3 linked regions of the Notamacropus eugenii genome follow. The protein of the gene in region 1 binds, or shares a complex with, the protein of each later gene. Links are inferred from orthologs where the notes say so. Each region holds a gene or a part of one and is shown on either strand. Other genes may lie near its edges.

Evidence for each region.
Region 2: LAMTOR5 (region 1) and FNIP1 share a complex: the UniProt entries of both Homo sapiens proteins name them as parts of the lysosomal folliculin complex. The link is inferred for Notamacropus eugenii from reciprocal best matches to the Homo sapiens genes LAMTOR5 and FNIP1.
Region 3: LAMTOR5 (region 1) and LAMTOR3 share a complex: the UniProt entries of both Homo sapiens proteins name them as parts of the ragulator complex. The link is inferred for Notamacropus eugenii from reciprocal best matches to the Homo sapiens genes LAMTOR5 and LAMTOR3.

Annotation. Positions count from the first base shown.
Region 1 is NC_092873.1:288,911,763-288,919,862, forward strand, and holds the start of LAMTOR5 (ragulator complex protein LAMTOR5), read right to left. Parts: upstream 3,089-8,100; 5' UTR 2,796-3,088; coding exon 2,611-2,795; intron 2,479-2,610; coding exon 2,417-2,478; intron 1-2,416. UniProt on the Homo sapiens protein: As part of the Ragulator complex it is involved in amino acid sensing and activation of mTORC1, a signaling complex promoting cell growth in response to growth factors, energy levels, and amino acids.
Region 2 is NC_092872.1:343,469,297-343,476,946, reverse strand, and holds the start of FNIP1 (folliculin-interacting protein 1), read left to right. Parts: upstream 1-4,560; 5' UTR 4,561-4,632; coding exon 4,633-4,883; intron 4,884-7,650. UniProt on the Homo sapiens protein: Binding partner of the GTPase-activating protein FLCN: involved in the cellular response to amino acid availability by regulating the non-canonical mTORC1 signaling cascade controlling the MiT/TFE factors TFEB and TFE3.
Region 3 is NC_092878.1:137,825,765-137,833,626, forward strand, and holds the start of LAMTOR3 (ragulator complex protein LAMTOR3), read right to left. Parts: upstream 3,091-7,862; 5' UTR 2,997-3,090; coding exon 2,949-2,996; intron 1,870-2,948; coding exon 1,835-1,869; intron 1-1,834. UniProt on the Homo sapiens protein: As part of the Ragulator complex it is involved in amino acid sensing and activation of mTORC1, a signaling complex promoting cell growth in response to growth factors, energy levels, and amino acids.

The DNA of each region.
Region 1 (8,100 bases):
GGCCTGGTGAAGATGTGCTGGAGTCTGAGCCAGTCAAGCTCATTTCAGAGATGAAAACAATGTTTGGCCGTCCGGTTTTTTTTAGCTACAGCATATCAATTAAATAAACATTTGTTAAGCGCTTATTATGTGCAAAGCCCTATGCTAGGAATACTGGAAAAAAACAAAAACATAGTCCCTGTCCTCAAGGAGCTTATTTTATGAAAGGTACACAACTTCAACACATGATAAATGAAAAAGGAGGTTACACTAACATGGTAGGGGAGATGAGAGGAAAGGTTTCCTATGAGAGTTGGTACTACAGTAGAACCTTAGAAGCAGCCATCAAGTAACTCTTAAGAGGTAACAATGAGAAAGGAGTCTCTTTACAAAGGTGGTGGTGGGAAGTGGGGAGGGGGGGTTGCCTGTGCAAAATTAGAGATGGGAAATGGCATGCCAAGATCTGAAAATAGATAATTTGCCAACATGGCTGGAATACAGAGCATATGAAGCAGAATATAAAGAAACAAGGCAACAAAGATAAGCCAGGCTGAGACACAGAATGATTCAGGGGATAGACACTGAAGGGGATAGATACATTAATTGAACACAGGTAAACTACTGAACTTCTCTGAATTTCAGATTACTCAGCTGTAAAATGGAGTATAATAAAACCTGCGGGGCTTGCTTCACAAGACTGTTCTGAGGTCCAAATAAAATGTCCATAAAGTAGTGTCAGTTGTTATTATGGGAGGCTCAAGGCTAAGGAGTTTGTACTTTATGCTCTAGACAATGAGGAGACACAAGATTTTTGAGGAAAAGTGTCATGCTCAGATCTGAATTAGGAAAGTACTTTTAGCAGCTGAAAGGAGAATGGAGAGACTGGGAGGCTATTACAATACAAAAGTGCAGGCAAGAAGCAATAAAGATCTGAACTAGGGTGGTAGCCATTCTGAGTGATGACAAGGGATGGGAGAACAAACAGGAGTTGGCAAGTGGGGGGGGGGAGGGAGAAGGAAAAACCAAGGATGAGCAATTTTAGGGGAAAAGGTTTCAAGATGAAAACAATTCTGTTTTGAACAAGTTAAGTTTGCCACACACTGTCAAACATCAGGCTTCCATAATGTAGAAATGGAATTTAGGAAAAGGTGTGAGTTGGAAACAAGTCCTTAGTGTAGAGATACACTGAACCTGTAGGAACAGATGATACCAAGGAGAACATGTACCATGAAGAGGAATCAGAACAGCTGTAGAGGGTCAGCCACAGTAAAGGAGGTAGGGGATGGACGGCATTTCAGCAAGAGAGACATTTCATAGGATGAAGGCAGACAAGAAGAACAGTAGAGAGAAATGCCACGGAATCCAAATAAGGAGAATATATTCAAGAAAGGATGGTCAATAGTGTCAAAGCTTCAGAGAAATCAAGGTGCAGGAGGACTGAGGAAAAGTCACTGGATTCAGCAGGTAAAGAGATCCTTGGTAACCTTGGAGGAAGCCCAATTACCTGTAGTCCAGAAATGAGTGTCTGGTAAAGAAACAGAGGTCTGGAATACAGACAATTTTCCCAAGAAGTCAGGCACTGAAAAAGAATGGCAGCATGGGGGAGGGCATGGGCGAATAAACGTAAAATGATAGGGGGTGGAGTGGGGTGAGGCAACGAAGTCCTCCCCGTCCTAAGTAATCTCCCAAATAATCCCTAGTTACATACCCTAAGACCAGAATTCGGAAATAACTGATGAAACAGGCTCTTTGAAGCCGAGCTTGGGGGCCTTTTTAGGGAGGGCTGTGTCTTCCAAAGACACCCAAGCAAGGAAGGACAGACGGGACAGGTGGAGATGGGCAAGAGTTAGAAGACTGCCTCGAGGACCCACCTGAGATTATGTAACAAACCAGGGACAATTCACAAAAATCCTCCACCCCAGGTTAAAGAAAGACCAACGTTTTCTACAGTGAAATGAGTAGCTACACAGTGAAACCACACACTTTTTTAAGTACTAGGGAGACGTAGCCCTCCCTCCCCTGCTAAAATGCAACGACATCAACCTATGGGCCAACCGGGCACCTGGCCCATCAGCACGTACACCACCTGTCGATGCCCTTCTTAGAGAACACCTGTGCCAACAGGGCCCCCAAGGTCTGGGGACGCGGCCTCGGCTCTTCTCCCCCGGGGCACCCCGTATCCTAAGTGGGGGAGTCCCATCTTCCGCGGAGGCTTCCCCTGCTCGTGCCCCCGGGGGTGGGGCCTTGCTCGAAGGATTACCTTCTTTCTTATCCACAACCCCCTGCCGGTGGTCCTCCCCCGTTAGAACGCGGCATCCTCGGGGGCGGGAGCCACCCCGACCTCCTTCCGCATCCCCGGCGCGTCCGGCACACCGGAGGCCCGTGCCTGCCCCCGCCCCCGGTCCGGGCACAAGCTCCCTGCCAAGGCGCTACTTACAGCCCAGGTTCAGTCCCTGCGAGTCCGTGCACAGGACGCCGACGATGGACGGGTTCTTCATCCTAACACAGACCAGACGCCGAGGTTACAGGAGCGAACCGGGCGGCCCCCCACACCTCCCACGTCTTCCCTCCGGGACCGGGCCTCGACTAGGCCACCGAAGTGCCCGGCCCGCCCGTGCCCACACTACCCACGTGTCCTCGAGGTGCTGCTCCAGGGTCGCTTCCATCTCGGGTTTTGACAGTAAGTTGAGTCCAGGCCGCTCACGGGACGTCGCGTCATGTGACCGCCCTCCTCTGGCCACGTGATGCAACCACGCGGCTTCAGCAGGTACGGCGCAACAGCCGCGGGACGGGGCTTCCGACGGGACAAAAATCATCAACTCGCGTTAGGAATTAAAAACATTTCCCCTCTCCCCACCTCTTCCTCTCTGTGTCAGGAGTCTGGAGTCTGCGCAGACGCCGCCCAGTAGGGTACTGTATCCACGGGGCCCTCACTGGCAGGGAGGGGAAGCCACCTCCAAGACCTCTGGCGGCGGAGGAGCGTCCTCTGGGCGTCAAGGCCTCCGGTTGTCATGGTTACCCTCGAGTCAGCGCCGAGAAGGGTGGGGGGAGGAGGAGGGGCGAGGGGCCCCGCCTATTGCTCCCGGACTTCCCTCCCTCCCCTCCCCCACGGTGGCGAGCTCCGCCCTACACCCTGGGCGGCGCCTCACGCAGAATTAGCCTCGGCCTGGATGGGAGGGGACGTGTGCAGAGTGGGCCCTGCCGCCGACCGCGTGACCCGGGGGCAGTCACTTCCCTTCCCTCCCTGCCTCAGTTTCCTTCTCTCCAAAATGTCAGGAAGAGGGCTTTTTCGCTCTTTGGGCCCTCGAACTAATGGCAAAACCCACGGACCCCTTAGAATCATGTTTTAAAGTGTGTGAAATAAAATACACAAGACTACAAAGGAAATAACCCTGAAAGTGATCCGTGTATACATAAACATACATATATGTAATTTCTATTTTAAAAATATAAAAATGTAATTTATAGAGATGTAACACTATGACATCTATAAATACGCCTAATATAGAAAACATTAAAATACACATATGTAACAATTACAAGTAAACGGTCTGTACACATACCTTCGATCATCATATACATTCATATCACTTCTGTGGTCATATACATACACACGTTTAAAAAACCCAGTTCTCGGACCTCAGGCTAAGACCCTCGGAACTAAACCAGTCCAGCCCTCCCGGTTTACTTGACGTGAGTGCGAAAATACCCATTTCTGCGGGGCTTTAAGATTTACAAAGCGTTTTTCTCAAAACAGCCTTTTCTTCAGCACCCTCCTGTGGCTCCCTGTTGTCCTCCACGATCACACAGAAACAGCCCCTGTCTGGCTTCCAAAGCCCTTCCCAACCTGGCTCCTGGCCACCTGTCCAGGTATCCCACACCTGGAGCGAGCCCCGCCCACCTCTGGTCTGACCCTGCTTTGCTCCCCCTCCCGCACAACCCTGCATCTCCCCGGGGAGAGGGTTTCCACTCTCCGCCTCCCATGCCTCCAAGTCTCGCTCTCCTCATCTCCACCCCTCCTGCCTTCCAGAATCAGCCAAAGTCCCTCCTTGTGCTGGAAACCCTCCCACCGTCCCCCTTGATCTTGGTGTCTGAGATGACCCCTAATTTATTGTTGGCATGCTTTCTCCCCCATTAGACTGTGAACTCCTTGAGAGCAGGGACTGATTTCTTTTTGCCTTTCTTTGTACCCCCACTCAGCACAGTGCCTGTCATAGAACAGCCCCTTAATAAATGTTAATTGATGGACTGATGGGACAAGACAAGTGTTACACCATTTCAGAAATGCCCCATGGCTAAAACCGATGCTCCACCCCTGTTCTCTATTCAATTTCTAATCCTTTCTTCCATCCTTCTCTTGTCTTGAAGTTTTCTTCCACTGGCTTCTACTCCACCATTTACAAACATGCCCAGGTCTTCCCTACCCTTAAAAAAACAAATCAAAACAAACCTTTAATTTCATTTTTCCATAGAAACTCCTATAAAAAGCTGTCTATACTGGTTAGTAAGCTTCTTCACTCAGTTTTTAAATCACTTGTAAGCTAGCTTCAGGCTCTGTCATTCAAATGAAATTATCCTCTCCAAAGCTACCAACTATTTTATTAAAATAGATTTTTGCTAATTATTTTTTTCACGTCACCTTGGATTTTCCCTTGGATTCCCTTCCGTCACCCTTCCCTTCAAACATCTATCAATATTTGTCATTTTAAAAATGAAAACATCTTAGTATTATTACAAAATAGTTTCTATTTTGTTGTCTTCCTGAAAGGAGGTGTCCCAAAATGGTCTCAGGGATTTGAGGGGTTCCTGAACCACACTTTGAGAGAACCACTGAGTTATACAGAGCACAGAGTATGTGGAAGGGTAATAATATTTAGTGAGCCTTGATAATGTTTAATATAAAATTTTAGAATAATCTCTTTGTTCTCTCTGAAGCAAACTCAGAGGGTGCCTCTTCCTATGTCAGCAAAAGCCAGCCAAGGCTGACTCTACATTCCTTAAGGAGACCTTTAACCTAAGACACTATCTTGAATAATGGGACGTTTTCCATATCTTAATATTTGTAGACCTACACTATGTTATGGCATGTTAATGGTAAAGAAAACACAGACATCTTAGGTCGTAATTTCTATTGAACTTTGTTTACCCTTTCTTATGTCAGTTATCTGTTTAGGGCAGGAAGCCTGCCACTTACTAGTGGTGGGATTTCCTTCTTTATCACCAAGACATATGTTTACCCAGCTGGAATCCCAAGGCCTGACCAACATTACTTTGTTAATTGTCCTGTCTTACTGAATTTATGATTTGTTCAACTAGGAGAGTTCCTTTCTCATGGCAAAATGTATATAAGCCAGAAGATTTCTGCACTGGGTAGCCAGAACATTTCTGGCTCCATAATGCATTATGTTACCGTTGTCTTTAATAGGGAATTGATTAATTAATTAAATCATAAAATGTATGCATTAGCCTGCTGCCTTTTCTTTAACCAAGTTTTCAGGTCAACAGCCTGGAAAGGTCAGCTGGGGCTAGATTCTAACAGGCTTTAAATGTTTTAAATTCAAAACCCCAACAGGTATTTCATCCTAGAAGCATTTGGGAGCCCATTAGAACTTCATTTGTAGAGGAGTCTCTTGGTGAGGCCAGTGCTGTAGGAGTGAATATCCCTTTGGCAACTAAGTCAAGGATGAATTGACTGGAGGAGTAGTTAGGAAGCTACTGCAATAGCCTCAAGAGACAATGAGCAGAGATGGAACAGCTTATGACAGATGTTGTTCAAGCAGACTCTGCGACTGATTCAACAAATGAGTAAGGAGAAAGGCAAGGGAGGAATTGAGGATGACTGAGACACTGCAAATTTGGATTACTACAGGGATGGTGGTGGTTGTTGTTTAGTCATTTCAGTCACGTCTGACTCTTCCTGACCCCATTTGGGGTTTTCTTGGCAAAGATACTGGGGTGGTTTGTCATTTCCTTCTCCAGCTCGTTTGACAGATGAGGAAAGCAAGGCAAACATAGTGAAAGGACTTGCTCAGGGTCACACAGCTAGGAAGTGTAGGAGGCTGGATTTGAACTCAGGAAGATGAGTCTTCCTGACTTCAAGCCTGGCATTCTATCCACTATGCTACCTAGCTGTCTTAAAGTTTTATATCTCCATTGTCTAGCACATGTGATGAGGTTTGGGAGTGCTAGGACCCTGAGAATGCCAAGGCAGAATGAATTCATACACTCAAGCCTTCTCTTAGTCAAGTGCAAAAAGTAAAGCTTTAGCAAAAGCAGGCAAAGATCCTTAAAGGAACCTATAATACAGTTAGGATGGTGCTGGGACTTATATGGAAAAGGGACAAGGGAAAGGATACTGAGGATTCTAATTAGGTAATGCAAAGGTGTCTTTGGGAGCTATGGATGGGAAAATGTAGGGAGCTTTGCAGAGATAGCTGTGTTCATACCAGACATTGAGGGAATTCTTAGAGGCATGGACCGTGGGGATCTGATGTGGTGAGGGGAGTCCTTGGACTAGCCAGGGACAAAAATCCCTGGGCCAGGCACCCCTCTGTCTGTTCTGATAAGAGAATGTATTCTACAACAAGAGAAAATTTTCTCAGAGGACAGGGGTCCACTGAGAAATTGGGAAGTTTTCAGAGACATGATCTTAGGGCTGGGGTCTGAGCACTCCATCACATGTATGTTCAGTCATGTTCAACTCTTCATAACTCCATCTTGCCCATGGGTTTTTCTTGGCAAAGACACTGGAGTTTGCCATTTCCTTTTCTGGTGGAGTAAGACAAACATAGGTTAAGTGACTTGCCCAAATATCCAAGGTCAGATTTTTAGCTCTGGTCTTTCTGACAGTAGGTCCAGTATTTTCACTTAGCTTCCCTCTTTTTATGTAGTGTAGTATTATCTTAAGTGGCCCTACCCACTCCATTCGGCCATTAGATTTAGCAACAAAAGCTTGTTGAAAGCTTTGAAGGGGACAGTTTCAGTTGAATGGTTGGGTCAGAAGCTAAGGAACCTTCAGAAGCCTTCTAGTCCTTTAACCATCCTTAGCCTCTCACATTTCTTCCCTGACCCATTCCTTTGAAGGCTAAAAAGATCCTGTACTAAATCAATATAAATGCAGGGCCAAGAACAAGAGAAGTTTCCAGAAGTTGTCTTGTTATGAAGTTAAGAAATGGAGGAAAAGCCAAGACTTCTTTCATTTTACCTTTCTTTTTTCCCCCTTCCTTTCTTTTAAGTTTTAACATCTTTTATTTTTTACTTTATAAAAATTTCCCCATGTCTTTCCCTTGTAACAAAGAAAAATGAGTAAAACTGGTCCATAGATTCCACACCCCATCCCCACTCTTCTCCAGAATGAAGACTAGTCGTTACACTTAATTAGTTACCTTTCTCTTGTGTTGTTTTCATTTACATCTTCACTCGCTGTCATTTCATGCCAGTCTTAGCATGTTTCTTTGTGATAGGACCAACAGTGAAATCTCAGAGTCAAAAATGCCAATGTTTTAGGGACTATCTCGCATCATTCCAAACAGTTTTCCAGAATGCTTGGACTACTAGACCAAGTCCACAGAACTGACAAGAGATAATAACCACAAATCTGAAGGAACAGTTCATTCTAATTCCTTTTTATGGATGAGGAAACCGGCACCAGAGATACTGAACGATTTGCCAGTAGACATATAAGCCTGGTGTTTCAATCTAGGTCCTTAGACTCCAAACCCAATGCTGTAGGTATCCATTTTTCCAGGGCCTTCTCTATTTATTACCCTGACCAGTTTGTGAAAAGAGACTACCTTTGGGGACTTCATCTCTTGTAGGGTCATGAGTGAATGCCCCATTTTCTCTTTGTTATATATGGATACTAGAGGGCATCTTCTGACTGGTGGAGGGCTATTACTATTTTAGAAGCTGAGATGTGCTTACAGTGGAGTGCATCAGTGTGAGGGAGGGGCATGCAACCCAATGTGCCACCAGAGGGCACTAAGACCATAGCCAAAACCAATCCAACATCACAAAAGAAGGCTACTGGCTTGAGAGAATAAATAACCACCAGTTTTTCACAGAATCAGATGATGTTTGGGCTATACGGAATCTTTGACATCATGTAATTAGTTTAGCTCT
Region 2 (7,650 bases), on another chromosome or scaffold:
ATCCACATGCCTTATCAGGTTTTGATTCATTTTCCCTTATCTTGCATTTAGGGATTTTTGGACTCATTTATGTGATCTGGAGGCAATCTTCCTCTCTACCCTGTCAGTTTATTTACTTGTGCTCAAGGTTTTTAATGGTTTCTTTCACCTAGGGTCATTGGCATTTCAATCTTTTGCTTTATATTTCCCTGCCCCTCACTTTGACTCTGGGGGCTAAACCTCACTGAGGAATTTACTTTTCAGTGGTCTTAGTCTCAGATGTCTTGGGGACAGAAATGGCCTGTTTTATTTAAGTCCTCTTTCCCTTTGGCCTAGGGTAGTCTCCGCACACGCACACACACACTGACCTTCCTCCTCTGTCCCTTAGTTCTCTTGAGCCCTGCCATTGCTGTAGTACATCACACACATACCAGATTGAGCAACCTTCCAGCTTTTGTGGATCTTGGCCTCCTTCAGTCCCAGGGAGGGTGGGACCGAATTGAGATCTGTTGCCTATTTGTTGCCTTAGAAGGATGGAGTTGGGGGATCATTGGGTTCAGCAGGCAGAAACCACAACAGCAGGGGAACTGCTAAGCAGATCCCAGAGCTTGTCTATGAGCCTGCTAGGCTGGTGAGGGAGATATTATAGGGTTTGACCTTCTCTGATGCAGTTCTTACATTCTTAGAGTTCTTGGTGTCTCAGACATGGAGACACTTGCAATTGCTTTATCTCTTCCACATACTTCTTACTTTAGTTTGAGAGGTTATAAGGATTAAAGAAAATGTCTATTCTTTTATCTTGGTAGTCATGGGACTTGGAAGTTCTCTCCTCATCCCCCAGCGGTTTTTGTTGAAGTGACACCTTTCCTTGAAGAGCTGCCTTTGTTTCTTGATTTGAAATTGTCTCTTCCTCACCCCACTATCCAACATCATTATGAACAACAATAAATATTTATCAAGCTGCTTACTACATCACAGGCACTGTACTAAATAGATGAGGATAAAAATAAAGGTAAAAACAATGTCCCTGACCTCAAGGACCACACAGTCCAATGAGAAAGAGAAAATGCAGACCACTATGTACATACAAAATATAACAGTGTAAATGAGAGGTAATCTCAGAGGGACTGCCCTTGTAAAGGATTTGAGGGGACCAGGAAAGGTCTCTTGTAGGGAGGTGAGAGTTGAGCTGCATCTTAAAGGAAGTTAGGAGGTGGAGGTGAGGTAGGAGAGCATTCTAAGCAGTGGGGACAGATAATGAAAAGGTATATACTCACAAATTGTGTACTTTACCCAATCTTGTTTGTTTTTAATCTTGGCAAATATTAATATTCATGTTGATAGTATCATTGTCAGTTTTTGTTGCTTTGGGTTTTATATCACAGACTTGGAAGCTTTTCCTTCTGTGTCTTATTACATTGACTCAACAGGATTTAAAGTGTTTGGGGGGGGCTAAAAGGAATATATTACAGAGGGGTTTGGGGGTGGGGTAGGGAGACAGAGACTTCATTTAAAAGGCAGAATCACTTCACTGGAGTTGAAAAAGGCCAAGGGGTTATGGTTGCAAGTTGCAGTCAACTTAGGCTCCCCAATATTATTGTCCTGAACTGTCCTAACAACTGTGGAGATTAAAGTAAAAAAATAACATCTTGGACTCTAGAGGCCTAAGTTCCAGAAGAACACTTAACATCTTCTCACATTTTGCTCTATGCTAAATGCATAGTACATGATTTTTGTTCCATAGTTTATATGATAAATGACATGTAAAGTTTATGTAACTTTACATAACAGTTACTAGGTGGCAAACTATATGAAGGCAGTGTCCTTCATATAATTAGAGTTGAGCAAACTTGTGGTAACTTGAATTTCAGTAAAGTGAAAGAGACTTAGTGCCACTTCTGTGTGCTCTCTATATCATATCACCTGTTCTAAAGATACCAGAACCTTGGACTCTGCCTCTGCATCCCTGGACTATGATAAAAAGAGCTTTGACTTTATCTTGCCTTGGACCAGGCCTCTCTGTCACTTTCCTGAAGCCTCTATATGACACTGCATTTCCACTTACCTGCTTTCCAGCACACCTTTATATGTTGTCTTCCCCTAGTATAAATTCCCATAGTGCATTTGGAGTGGTTGGGGTTGGTAGGGAAGAAGATATTGGGCATCTAAGGGTTTGTTTACTTGTCTTTGTATCCTTAACACTTGGCACAGTCCTCGATACAAAGTAAGAGCTTGCTCTCTGCCTATCTATTTACCAACCTATCTATCTCATAAAATGCTAGACTTGGAGTCATGCAGACCTGGGTTCAAATCCTGCCTCTGAGTACTAGCTGTGTAGCTCTGGGCAAGTTGTTTAAACCTTTATGTGGTTCAAACAACTAACTATCTATGTCTTATCTACTAAAAAAGGGACTGTGATTTGCCTTGGTGAAAAAAGTTTATGTGCCAGGACTTGTCTGTGCTCATGAAACCACAGGCCTTTTTCACACTCAGATATAAATTGTCAACACACTCTCAGGAACCATTGTTGAGTTAGGTTAAATTAACTTCTTCTCTGGAACTTAAGTTTGTTCATCCATAAACTATCTTCCTGCTCTACACATTCATAATTTCTAAGGTTCTTAGACTTCTTCCAGTCAATAATACCCTGTTAAATTTTAGAGCCTAATTTAATAAAGCAGTAAGATTACTGGTTCTCTTCAGTTGATATTCAGGTCAGTCCAATTCAAAAAGCCTGTTAGGGGATTTATAGGACATGAACAAGAATTGCACAGAAGGAGAAAGCATGAATGGGTTGCCCATCTGCATTGTTGGAAGGACATATGTACATATATATATGTATGTATGTATATGTATATATATGTACAGAGCATTGCTAGGGTCCTTTGGGGATAGAGAGATAAATAAAAATATCTTCCTTTAGGGATCAGAGACATGTTCCCAAATCACTCTAACACAAAATATAATTCTAAGTGCACAGGAAAGTTGTAATGAAATATAGGGGAAGATGATGGTTTTGGAGTACAGACTGGGCACAATCACACCAAACTACCCCTAGTCTGGCTGTCTGGAGCATTCTCTCAGACATAATGGTAGATTTGGGGTTTCCTGGTATTCTTCACTTCTGACACCCTAACAGTCCTCAGCACACAGTCAGATCTTGGTTACCAAGTCATTTATCAGTTTAACCTATGACATATTCCACCTCCTTCTTTAATAATAATAATGAGAATAGCTAACATTTATATATGCCTATGTACGGGGGCACTTTACAAATATGATTTCATTTGATCCTCCCAACAACCCTGATTGTTGCTCTAGGTGCATTACCCCCATTTTACAGATGAGGAAACCGAGGCAAACAGACTTGCCTAAGACTACAAAGTTTTTGAAGCTGCATTTAATTTTGTATACACATACACTCTCTCCATTTTTATACTATACACATACATATGTATTACATGTGTTTATGTACACAGACGCATATCTACACACGCACATTATACATACATAAACATACATAACATGTGTGCATGTATATAACTGTCAGATGAACCCTCCTGGATCTGACGTCACTTCCTAGACTTCCAAATCTTCAAGAGCTCCTCCTACTGTCTATCCAGTTATATTCGAATATTATCTGATACCCAAACTGACTACCTTTCCACCTGTATTTCCTATTACTGCCCTTCACGCTCTCCACAGTCCGGCCGAACTGGGCTCCTCTCTATCCCCCGAAAGACAGACCTTCCAGTCCCGCTTCCCCCCTCCCCGCCACCCCCACCCCCACCGTGGTCCCCCCAGCTTTGAGTCAAAAGCCCTCCGCATGAAGGGCCACCTCTTCCGGAAGCTTCTCCCTGGCCGGCCATCCCCCACAAACCCCCACTAACACTCGTAGCATCTGGTTTTGCCCCTCTCCAGTGCAGTTAATAAGGCACGTGACCTGGTGTCTGCACACGTGCACCCCAGAATGCGTGCGAGCTCCACGAGGGCAAAGGTTACGTGTCCAGACTTTCTCTCTCCGAACTTGGGGAACCCCCGTCTAAATACGGGTGGAGTCTAGCGGAGGGTCCGCGGGGTTCCGGGGCTGCTTTTTGCTCAAGGGTGGGGTTCCCTTGCCCGGGGTTGCCCCTTCTATGCACGGAGGAAGCAGGGATGAGCGTGTGAGAGGGAAGCGGGGGTGTGGAGCCTTCTGCGGGGCCGCCACACACATCGGTGTTTACTCTCCCTCCGCTGCCGTTTCTCTCCGTCCCTTCCGGCCCCTGGCTGTCTCCGCCAGAAGAGAGACCCCCGGCTCTAGAGAGAACACTTCCCCTGCCAGGTTTCAGGACGAGCGCTTTCCTCCTCCCGCGGCTGCGCAGAGCAGGCCAGCTCACGAGACGAGGAACGAAGGATCCCCGCAGCCCGCCCGGCGCGCCCCGCCCCAACCTCTCGCGCGGTCCCGGAGGCGCGCGCCCTGGCGCCCTTCCCCCCTTGCGCGTACCCGGCCAGCCCTTGGCTGCCATGTGAGGGGTCCCGCCAGCCAATGGAGGCTCTCGGCAGGCGGGCTCGCCCCGCCCCTCTCCCCTCCGCCTCCTGTGGCAGTTTGAAGTGACTAATTTCTGTCATATGACTGTGACACCAATGGGGGCGGCGGCCGCTGGGCGGAACTAGATGCTCCGCGGCTGCTCTCGCTGCTCCCCGAAGGGGCCCAGGTCCCCGCAGCCCCCTTCGCCGTACACATCTTGCCACTCGCGGGGCTCCTCGGAAAGATCCAGTGCCGTTCGGCCCCGCCGCGCTGGGCCTGGCGCGGCCGGACCTGAGCCGGCCAAGATGCCCCCGACCCTTTTCCAGAAGCTGTTCAACAAAAGGAGCGGACTGGGTTCCCCAGGCCGGGACGCCCGGGACCCCGACTGCGTGTGCAGGTAAGGGCGGCGTCTCCAGCTGCTCCCAGCCTCGCCTGCCCCTTCCCCCCGCGAGTCCCCGCCGTCCCCGGAGCGGGGAGCGCAAAGTTGGACACCCGTGACTGTCCCGCCTCTGGCCCGCTGCCGCCTCCTTCCCGGAGCCGGAACTTGGGCGGCCCGGGTCGGTGGCTTTGTCCCCTGGGGGCGCGAGATTGCGGGGCTCCCCCCTCCCCCTTTCAACTTCTGGCTTTCGCGGAGTGGGCTTGGCCGGGTGGGTGGCCGGGAGGGAGGATGCTCTGCCCGCGGGTCAGCCGTCCGGCCCCACCCCCACCTCCTCCCCCACCGCCCGGTCACCGATCGTTTGTTTAGGTCCCCCACCCCCTCCACGCGGTGCCTGCCACCGCTGAGGTGCCCGGGCAGTTGGTATTTTCATCACCTTCCTGTTTGCAAAAAAGTTGAGCGGTTGCCGAAGCAGAAGGAGTCCTGCAGTTACTTCTCTCAAGCAGCCCCGCTTCCTTTGAAGCCGCCTGTTTACATCGGTACCCCTTTCTCTCGGCGAAAGAAGTTCTCTCCCCCCTCCGTCCACCTCCCCATGCTCGCCAACCGCTGTGCTTTCCACTTGAGACGTTGTTGAAGATTTGGGGCAGACTTCAATAAAATGAAGGAGGGAGGGGTCCAAGAGGAAGGGGAAGCAGGGGGGAGATGGAGCCCCGACGCGCTTCTCTTGGCTTTCTTGGAAATTGCAGTTGCAAGGGTGTTATTTGACTGAGCGACCTCAATGTTATAGAAGAAGAAATGTAAAATGCATAAGCTGCCAATAGCAGTCTAAGGTTACTACCAATTCTGTCATGATTTAACCTCAACAGAATTGAATCAAGTATTCCAAACGCAGTACTGTTAATAAAAAGAACTTTTGCTTTAGAACTCACCGATTAAGAAGTTCTGTAAAACTGGTTGCGATAGAATTATAACTTGTCAAATAGCCAATTTAAAAAAAAAATTGGATTAGGATGTTTAGTACCAGTCTAGGAAGGGGGGAAGGGCATAAGAGGGAAGAGAACAAGTACTTTGAGCAAAAAGTAAAAGAATTTTATGTTTCATAATAATAGCATTTATATAGCGTTTTAAGAAAAAAATCGAGTTCTGAACATTTTGAAAGTATGTGGCAAAAATATACAAATTTTCTCTCATTAATGTTTTTCCATATGCCATCCAATCTACTGCCATACTCCCATGGACTCCTAAAAGTTTCTCTAGTACCTTCCCTTTAAAAAAAAACACGAAATTAAAAAAAAAAACCCTTTACATTTCCTGCATCTATTGACACAAAATTGAAAATGGCTAAAAAATAATTGGGGTGTGAAATTGGTGGCATATTAAGATCAGACAACTGTCAGAAATCTATTTTTGTTTTCTGAACGAGGTACACAGATGCTAAAACGTTTATACCTGAAAAACATCTTTATAGTACATAGCAACACCTAATAAATGCCTGTTTAATTTGGTTGAATAATAATGTTAGGTGCAGATTTTTATATAGTATCTTCCATTCAAAGAAGTTCTTTGTATCTGTTAAGAACTTTTCCCCCTCATTTCCCCTCAAGAGTTCATTTTCCCATATAATCTGAGTTTTCTTATTATATCAAAATTTTAAAAAGCATGACTTCATCAAAGTAAGTGACTCAGATACTAACTTTCAGCCTAAAGCTATAGCTATTTCTGTCTCAAACTCAGTTTTTTCCCTGAGTTCTAATCAAGGTTAATCAAGGCAACTCACTGTAGGTAACGTGAAACATTGTAAAAGTGATAGGAGAAAAGAGTCTTGCACAAGGGAGGCTCTTTCTTGATGCCTTCTGTCATTACCCTTATCTAAAATGATCTCTTCCTTTTCTTATGCTGTCTCAAATATGATCATGTATGATGGATTTTGGGGGGGGTTCTAAAATTACTGCCAAACTTGGAACAGGGGACCTCAGTTATATTTTAAGGAATATTTTCTTTACCTTGATCATGTCCTCACCCAGAAACCTGGGGAAAGTCTCTCCTTTACCAACTCAGAAGGAATTGCTACCAATTTCTCAAGCATGTTGGACCATGTATAAAAAGTGAACTTTGGTGCACCTACAGGAGAAAAAAACCTTGTTCAACTTACCAAGACAAAATAGTCCTAGTCAAGTAAGGTGCCAGAGTCACAGTCCCACCACTGAAAGCCTTAGTACAGTAGAGCCAAGTCCCCTATTCCAGTGAATAGAACACTGGTTATCTTCCATGCCTGAAGTGTAATGCTTCCTTATCATAGGTATTTAATAAATGTTTATTTACTATTGACTGATCTCTGTTTCCTTCAGAATTTAGCTTAAGCATTAGCTCCTGTATGGTCATTCCTTATTTCCCCAGTAGCTAGTGCTTTCCTCTTCAAAAGTAATTTTGATAAATAAAAAGTATTTTGTGCATGCTTATATACTCCTTAAGAGTGGAACAATTTCACTTGGGTGTTTGTATCTCTCCCTCTCCTACATGACATGTAATAGCCACCTAATAATTACTTCTGGATTGTTTGGAATCCCTTATAGGCTGCCCCAGTCAAGTGCCTGATTTTCTTCCCCACAATCCTAGACTTTGGCTATCATATATTAGAAATCTTTTTCTGCTACTACTTTTACCGGTCTTTTTGTTCCCTTCTCACTTCATTCTTTCCTCATCACTCTTCCCTTAGATTTTGCTCTTGTTTAATATATTTCTTCCTCTGTGTCCTTCCCCTCTTGTGATACTACTTATCTGTTAAATC
Region 3 (7,862 bases), on another chromosome or scaffold:
TTATAATTTGGAAACCACCAGTTATTTACATTTTGAAATTGTATAAACAATTCAAATTTCAACACCCTGGTGATGTTTGTGCCTTGTTAACTCAATGTTAATTTTATCATGTCCAAGGTTTAGCTTTCAAGTGACCCTGTTGTCACAACTATGATCTGTTGCATTAAAATAGTCTTAAATTAGACCAGTCACAAGGAAGGCTAAGGCATAAAATCATCACCACTATGACTACAATTTGATGTACATGCCATACCTAAAGGTTAACAGAGGAGGGAACAAACACATTTATTTAACTGACCTACTGTTAGGCACTCTGGTGCTGTTTTGCAAATATCTCCAGGGGGAAGGGGGCCAGAAGGGAATATGTGTGTGCGCTATTATTATCCCATTTTTACAATTTAAGAAACTGAAGCTGAGATATGTTTAGAAATTTTAGTCTCTCACACACACACATGTGTATATATGTGTATACATATGTACACACATATAAATATACATACATATATATATATATACATATATATGTATATATATATATATATATATATATATATATATATATATATATATATATATATATATATATATATACACACATATATATATAGGAAATCAGGTCTTTAGAAAGATTTTAATTAAAGATGTTTCAACAGAAAACCCTTAACTACAGTCCAGTAACAATAAGCAACTTAGAAGCTTCTACCTTTATATCCATACACAGTGGACAGAACTCAGTTAATGAGCACTACTGTTTTCTATATGAGCAAGAGGCTTAGACAAAATTGCACAGGGCAGAAGGCAGAAAACGTAGTCTCCTTATTGATGACTCAGCCAGTTTGTTTCCTAGAAGAAATGCTGATATTTCCATTGCTGCTATTTGGTCCTGCCCAACCCTTTGTGACCCCATTTGGGGTTTTCTTGGCAGAGACACTGGATGGTTTGTCATTTCCTTTTCCAGCTCATCTTACAGATGAGGAAACTGAGGCAAACAGGGTGAGTGACTTGACCAGGATCACACAGCTTGTACATGTCTGAGGCAGGATTTGAATTCAGGAAGATGAGTATTCCTGAGCCCAGACCACTGCACCATCAAGCGGTACTATGATATTCCCTTGTGACCCCTTTGACCATTTAAGTTTTTTCAACCCAGAGAATTTTTCCATGATGTGTGGTATAAGAATAAAGTCAGAATTTAATTATATGTAATATTTTCACATAATGGGTTAAGTGATGTCTCATGGCATTTTCTCCTTCCCTATCTCTCAGGATCCAGTAGATCTGATAGACAGCTAGACAGATCTAGTTACCAGATAGCTCAGTCCTAACTCTCAGGAACTTTCTGAAGTTGCATTAGTAAAGGGAGCTTCCTTGTCTGGGAATTCCTATGTCACATAACAGCTCCAGTCTCTATTTCCTATTTTTAAAAATGTGCGCATAGGTAAACTGTATTTGAATTTAAAGTATAAAAGAAATCCAAATCTTTCTCATTAGTAGAACACCTCAGACGAACTTCCCTAGCAAAAGCAGAAAGGCTCAGTTGATAAATACTACATCTAACACCACAAGAGAAATAAGCTGGCATGGCACAAAAAAATGTCATAAATATGAAGCAAAGGCCATGATGAGAATGAAAAACATGCACATCTGCAAGCAGAATCATACTTTTCCTGTCTTTTCTGTGTGTCAATTTCATTTCCTTTCCAAGCACAGTATAAAAGCTTTACCTTAGAGTGAATCTAAAAGTGAAACGAATGTTGCGGTGTTTTTATTTTAAGGTGGCAACAAAGTGAGACTTTATGATTCAGAATTCAGGGTGACACTACTGATCCTTTACCTTGGTAACTTTTTGTAGAGGAATCTCTTCAAATCCTAGAAAAGGAGATATAAAGTCACGTTGTAACAAGATGTCACAAGGGGAAAATACAGTTTCAAACACTTAGGGAGTTCCTCAAATCTGAGTGAATGGTATTTCATAACTTCCCTCACCAGAGTCCCTAAATTTCCTAAAGCAAGTTTCAATTCAAACCCCATTCTTGAACTTCCCACAGGCCTGAACAATTCCTAGTTCAAACCTATTCTTATCCTTCCCACAAGCCTCAACAATTCCTGAACCCAGTTCACCAGCTTTGTCCTAAAGCTGCTATCCCTCATCATAAAACACCTCATAAAAGCAGAGTGCTGTGGGAAATACAAGGTCCTGACCTTCAAGTTTACAATCATATCCACCCAGAGGGAAAAACCAATAGTTTACATGTATACAAATCATTCATGATGGAGGGACCTTCCAGGTCAAATCTCAAGAAAGCTCTCCTATGTGTTGGAAGTTATTATCACTGCCATTTTTTTGATGAAACTGAAATATAAAGAAGTTAAGAAACTTGCTGACTCAGAGCCAGCCAAGGCCAGGCCCAAGGTGTGCTGGTGTTCAGTGCCCTCTGACTCTCCATGACCCTGTTTGGGTTTTCTTGGCAGGGATAGTGGGGTGGCTTCCCATTTCCTTCTCCAGCTCATGTTCCAGACGAGGAAACTGAGGCGGACAGGGTGAAGTGCCTTGTCCGGGGTCCCCCGGCCCACAAGCACCTGAGGCTGGACTGGAGCTCGGCTAGGTGAGTCTGCCTGGCTCCACGCCACCTCCCTGCCCCGGCCCCAAGTCCAGCACACCTTCGCATGGCCTCATCTGACCCTGCCCAGCTCCAAGGGACCCTACGGCGACCACTCCGGCTCCAATCCAACAGGACACACGCCTTCTTTTTCTGTCCCCGGCGCCTGTCGGACCGACCACCGGGCTACATAAGTCACTGCCCGGTGCTGTCGGGCGGCGGGGGCTTCCTGCGGTTAAAGAGGATCTGAGCTGCGCCAAGGCACGGCGGGGTGCGGGGGTGCGGGGGCGCCGGGAGCCCCGGGCCGGGGACAGGAACGGACCTTTGTAAAGCGCCTGCTGTACGCACCTGGGCACTTATGGAGCACCGACTATGGGCCCGGCTCAGGGGCACCATCCCAGGGGAAGGGGACGTGCCCCACGGCCCGCAGGGCGGAGGCCCCGGGCGTCCCTGCGGCGGGGAGGTCACCCCTCCCAGGCTCCGTCCCCCGCCTCCCTCCCCCGCGCGGCCCTCCCCCAGCTGGGGGGGGGTGGTCTCACTCACATCCGCCATGATGAGCCCCTTCCTCCCGCCGGGACGCTCCCCGCACCTGAAAGAGAAACACCCAGTGAAGCGGGGCGGGCCCGGGATCGCCTCCCCGCCCCCATCCCAGAGCGGCCGCCCCTCCCCGCCGTCAGGCCGCGAGGCCTACCTGGCTCAGGCTGCCGGGGCCGCCGCAGGTAGCTCCGACCGCCTCAGCCGCTTCCTCTGGAACCCGCGGTCACATGATTATCGCTCTCTCAGGAAGCTCGGTCGGAGCCCTGGCCCCGTGACACACTGCTTCCGGGGAAAGGGGTAAGGACACCGGAAGCGGCTTCCTTGGCCCCGCTGCCCGCGGGGACCTGCCACGAAAAAAGGCCTGCCCCCTTCTTCTTCCCCTCCTCCACCCGCGGAGTCCTGCGCATGCGCCAGACCCGCCCCTTGCGCTCCTCAGCCCGCCCCGGAGTTCTGCGCATGCGCCCCCTTCGTCCTTTCTCCCTACTCTTCCCACCTCTCAGCAGAATGCGGCGCATGCGCCTGTCTCTTTCCTACTCATCCAGGGAGGGACATTGAAGGAGTTTGCTAAAATGTTGCAGTCCCTCTGGCTGGATGCCAAGGGGCGCGTCAGGAAAACCACGCCTTAGATGTCCAATTGGAAGCATCCTCGACCTTCACTTTTTTTTTTCCATCATGTACCATCTGGGAAAGCCTTGGACCCCTGTCAGAGTCATGTTTTTAATGCATAAAATATTCATGAGATGACTAGGGAAAGCTTTCCCTCTTTCATTTCTTATCCTGCATGGAGGCTGATGTATACATATATGTATAATGTGTGTATGTATATATATATGCAGGTGTGTATATATGCATGTGTGCACATATGTGCATGTGTATATACATATACACATGTGTTTATAAGTATGTGTATATATGTATGTGTGTATATACGTGTGTTTATATGTATGTGTGTATAGGTATTGTGTAAGTATATGTATGTATATACATGTGTGTTTATGTGCATGCATATATTGTGCAAATATGTGTGCATATAGTGTATATGCATACATGTGTTTATATGTGTGTATATATGTACTGTGCATATATGTGTGCTCGCACACATACATGTTTATATGCACGCATATGTGTATATAGTGTGTATACATACATGTGTTTGTGCATGTGTGTGCAAATCTATATGTATATATGCATATATGTGTGTATATATGTATTGTGCAAATATATGTATGTGTGTATGTATATGCATACATGTGTTTGTATGCATGCGTATATGTATGTGTGCAAATATGTATGTGTATGTGCATGTGCGTTTATATGTATGGTATATATGCATTATGTAAATGTATGTGTGTATATACATGCTTATATGCATGCACATGTGTCTAGTGTGTACATATGTGTTCGTGTGTGCATGCATGTATATGTATCTGTGCACGTGTGTATACACATGCATGTGTTTATGTGTATATATTCATTGTGCAAATGTATGCGTGCACACATGTTTATATGTGTGCATGTATGCAAGTATGTGCACACTGTGTATACATACCTGTGTTTGTGTGTGCGTGTATGTGCACAAATGTGTGGTGTGCATACATGCATGTATTTATGTGTATATATGTGTGCAAGTATATGTGCAAATATGCATATATGTGTGTATATACATATATATTTGAGTGGTATCTCCATTTGATTGTGTTTCTTGAGGATAGGGACGGTCTTTTGCCCCTTTTTGTATCCCCAGTGCTTCGCAGTATTCCTGGCACATGACAGGTAATTAATAAATGTTCATGGAATTAAATCATATAGGTTGCTCTGTATTTGTTTGCATACTGTCTCCTCCATTAGATTATAAACTCCTTGAGGGCAGATATTGTCTTCTGCTTCTTTTTGTGTCTCCAGTGCTTGGCACATAATTTTGTGCTTGATAAATGTTTGTTGAATTAAATGTTGAAAGTGAGTTTTCGGGAACATTTTTTTTTAATTCAGGTACTTCAGATTAAGAAGCCTAGACTAGAGCTAAAAGGAACTGTAGGGCCATGGAGCCCAGCCCTCTTCTTGTATAAATGCCAAAAGTGAGGCCCAGAGAGGTTCAGTGACTTGTCCAAGGTCACATGATCAAGCAGTCAGCTGATAAGGTGAATCTATTTTGGTACTTTTAAGTAGATGCTTGGGCTTCACATATTTAAAAGAAAAATAAAGGAAACTGCCTGACTTCAAGGGCCTTATGTTCTGTGAGGGAGACAAAAGGTAGAGATAAAAATAGACTTAAAATATATTTTGAAAGTATGTAATAAGAGCTTGGATGGATTCCTATTGTAGCCACAGCTGGTCCTCTTTCCTGCCCCACCTTGGAGGTGTTTTACACACTGGGAGGGGAAAGAAGGGAAGGTTGTCATTAATGCTTTTCTGGAGGTCAGACTGCCTGTTGGTGGCTTTTTTCATTTCCTGATTTAGTGTCTTCAGGAGAGTTGTCTCTGATACCCTTCTTACTCACCTATTATGTGCTTTTACTTTTCAATTATTAAAGCAGTTTGAATTGGATTTTATGCTTCACAAAGGCTTGCTGTGTTTTGCTTTGCTTGTTTTCAAAGGAAAAGACCTTGAACCTGTGGAACCCAAGATACTTCTTCAAGAAGAGGGTATCAGTAATAGCCTTTCTGTAGGAGGGATTAGTGGCAGAGTAAGTACATTTCTTTCTGCTATACTGTAGAGAATAATTCAGGTTTTGAGTTTCTGGATCTTTTAGACTCCTAATTAATTTCCGTTTCCATTCTCCCCCAGCTCCACACCATCTATCATCCGATGCCTAGGTCATTTTTCTGCTCAAACATGTCCATAATAACACCAACTGTACAGTTTGATCCCAATCTTTACTTTCTTGCCTTATGTCAAGGGAGGTACAGAAGGTCATACACAGTCTTAGTAGGAACCAGAACTTGTGGACATGCTGAGTTTGGGATATTGGTGGGACAAGTAGGTAAACATTCCCTCTAGGTAGCTGAAAATCTTGTTCAGGAGCTGTGCAGAAATGATAAACCATAGGCTTAGAGACAGAAGAGACCTTCCTTACAGACCATATAGTCCAACCCTCACCTTATCGCTAGAAACTGAGAACTAAGGAAGTTACAGTGCTCTCTCTAACCACTGAGTTGAGTTGACATAATAGGTATCCACCATGGTCCCTTCCTTTCTGGCCTCTCTTGGAAGGCCCCTTCCCTCCTTGAATCTCTCAGACAGTTTTTGACTTTGCCTGTACACTGTGACTATTGATTACCTCTTCATCCTTTAACACCCAAGTCAAGGACCACTCTCTACAAAAAGTCTTATTAATACCTATTGCTAATTATTGCCCTTTGATTTCAAACAGTGCTTTGCTACACAAAAGGTCATACAAGCATTAAGTGACAGCACTGAGATTCTAAGCCTGCTTCTCAGACTTAAAATACATCACTTTTCCCAAGGTACCACGGTCGGAAATGCCTACTGTCACCTAGGTAAGGAATAGCCAGTACAATTTCTATCTCTGACTCCAAATTCAATGCTTTCTCCGTACCACCACATTCTGGTGGTGATTCTCCACCAATCTTCTTAAAATCCTAAGGTGACATATTAGGACATCCTCCATGATTCCTTCCCTTAGTAGGCCTCTCTCCTTCCTTGATTCTCTCGGGTCACATCTTTGACTTTCCCAGTGCACTGTCATTTTCTAACTTGCAAATGTTTAATCTCCATTTTCGACTGTAAGTTCGATGAAGATCAGGAACATTCATTTCTCATCTTTGTTTTTATCTTGCAGGATCAAAAGATTGATGGATTCAGAATTGGAAGGAATCTTACAGATCATCTGAATCAATCTCATTTTGTAGATGAGGAAACTGAGGTCCAGACGGGTTGTGACTTGTCAGAGGTCATGTAAGAAGTGGCAAAACCAGGACTGTGACTCCAAACCAAGTGCTCTTACCACTGCAATAATACTGTTTCTTTGCTTTGACCTATTATGCAACTGATTTGTGGATTGCATTCAGATTTTCTTTATGGCTTAAGTTTTGAAGTTTTAACAGCTTCTCTCTTACTTGACAAGTATTATCCCACATACCTGAAATGTCCTCTACCACTCCTGTTTTCTTCTCAATAAATAGTAAGTTTGGGGGGCAGAGCCAAGATGGTGGAGTAGAAAGACACACATATGCTAGCTCTTACCACACAGCCCATAAAATACCTGTAAAGAAGAACTCTCAACAAATTCTAGAGCAGCAGAAGCCACAGAACAATGGAGTGGAGGAGATTTCTATCCCAGAGTGACCTGAAAGATCAATGGGAAAGGTCTGTCGCACACAGGATGCAGAGCAGAGCCCAGCCCAGCCTTGGCCACGTGGGCACCAAGAGGAGCAGATCCAAGCAGGCTTCAGGGACAGAATCTTCAGTGGCAGCACAGATCCCTCAACACACAGGCTCCAAAGGTCAGTGAGTGCATCTTTTCTGCTGGCCAAGAAGGGAGCAGGGTGTCCCCATAACTCGGGCCTCCTCAGGAGGCAGCAGTAGAGGCAGCAGCGGACAAGGCTCCCAAAGCAGGCAGTAGCCTGAACCCATTGTTGAAGGTCTCATCATAAACCCCCTGAGGGAACTGAGCCCTGTATGGTGGGCCTGCCCCCACCTGAGCAGGTCATCTTAATCTCACACAGCTGATCTCAATCTTTAGGCACCCCCCCCTCCATCCCCCAC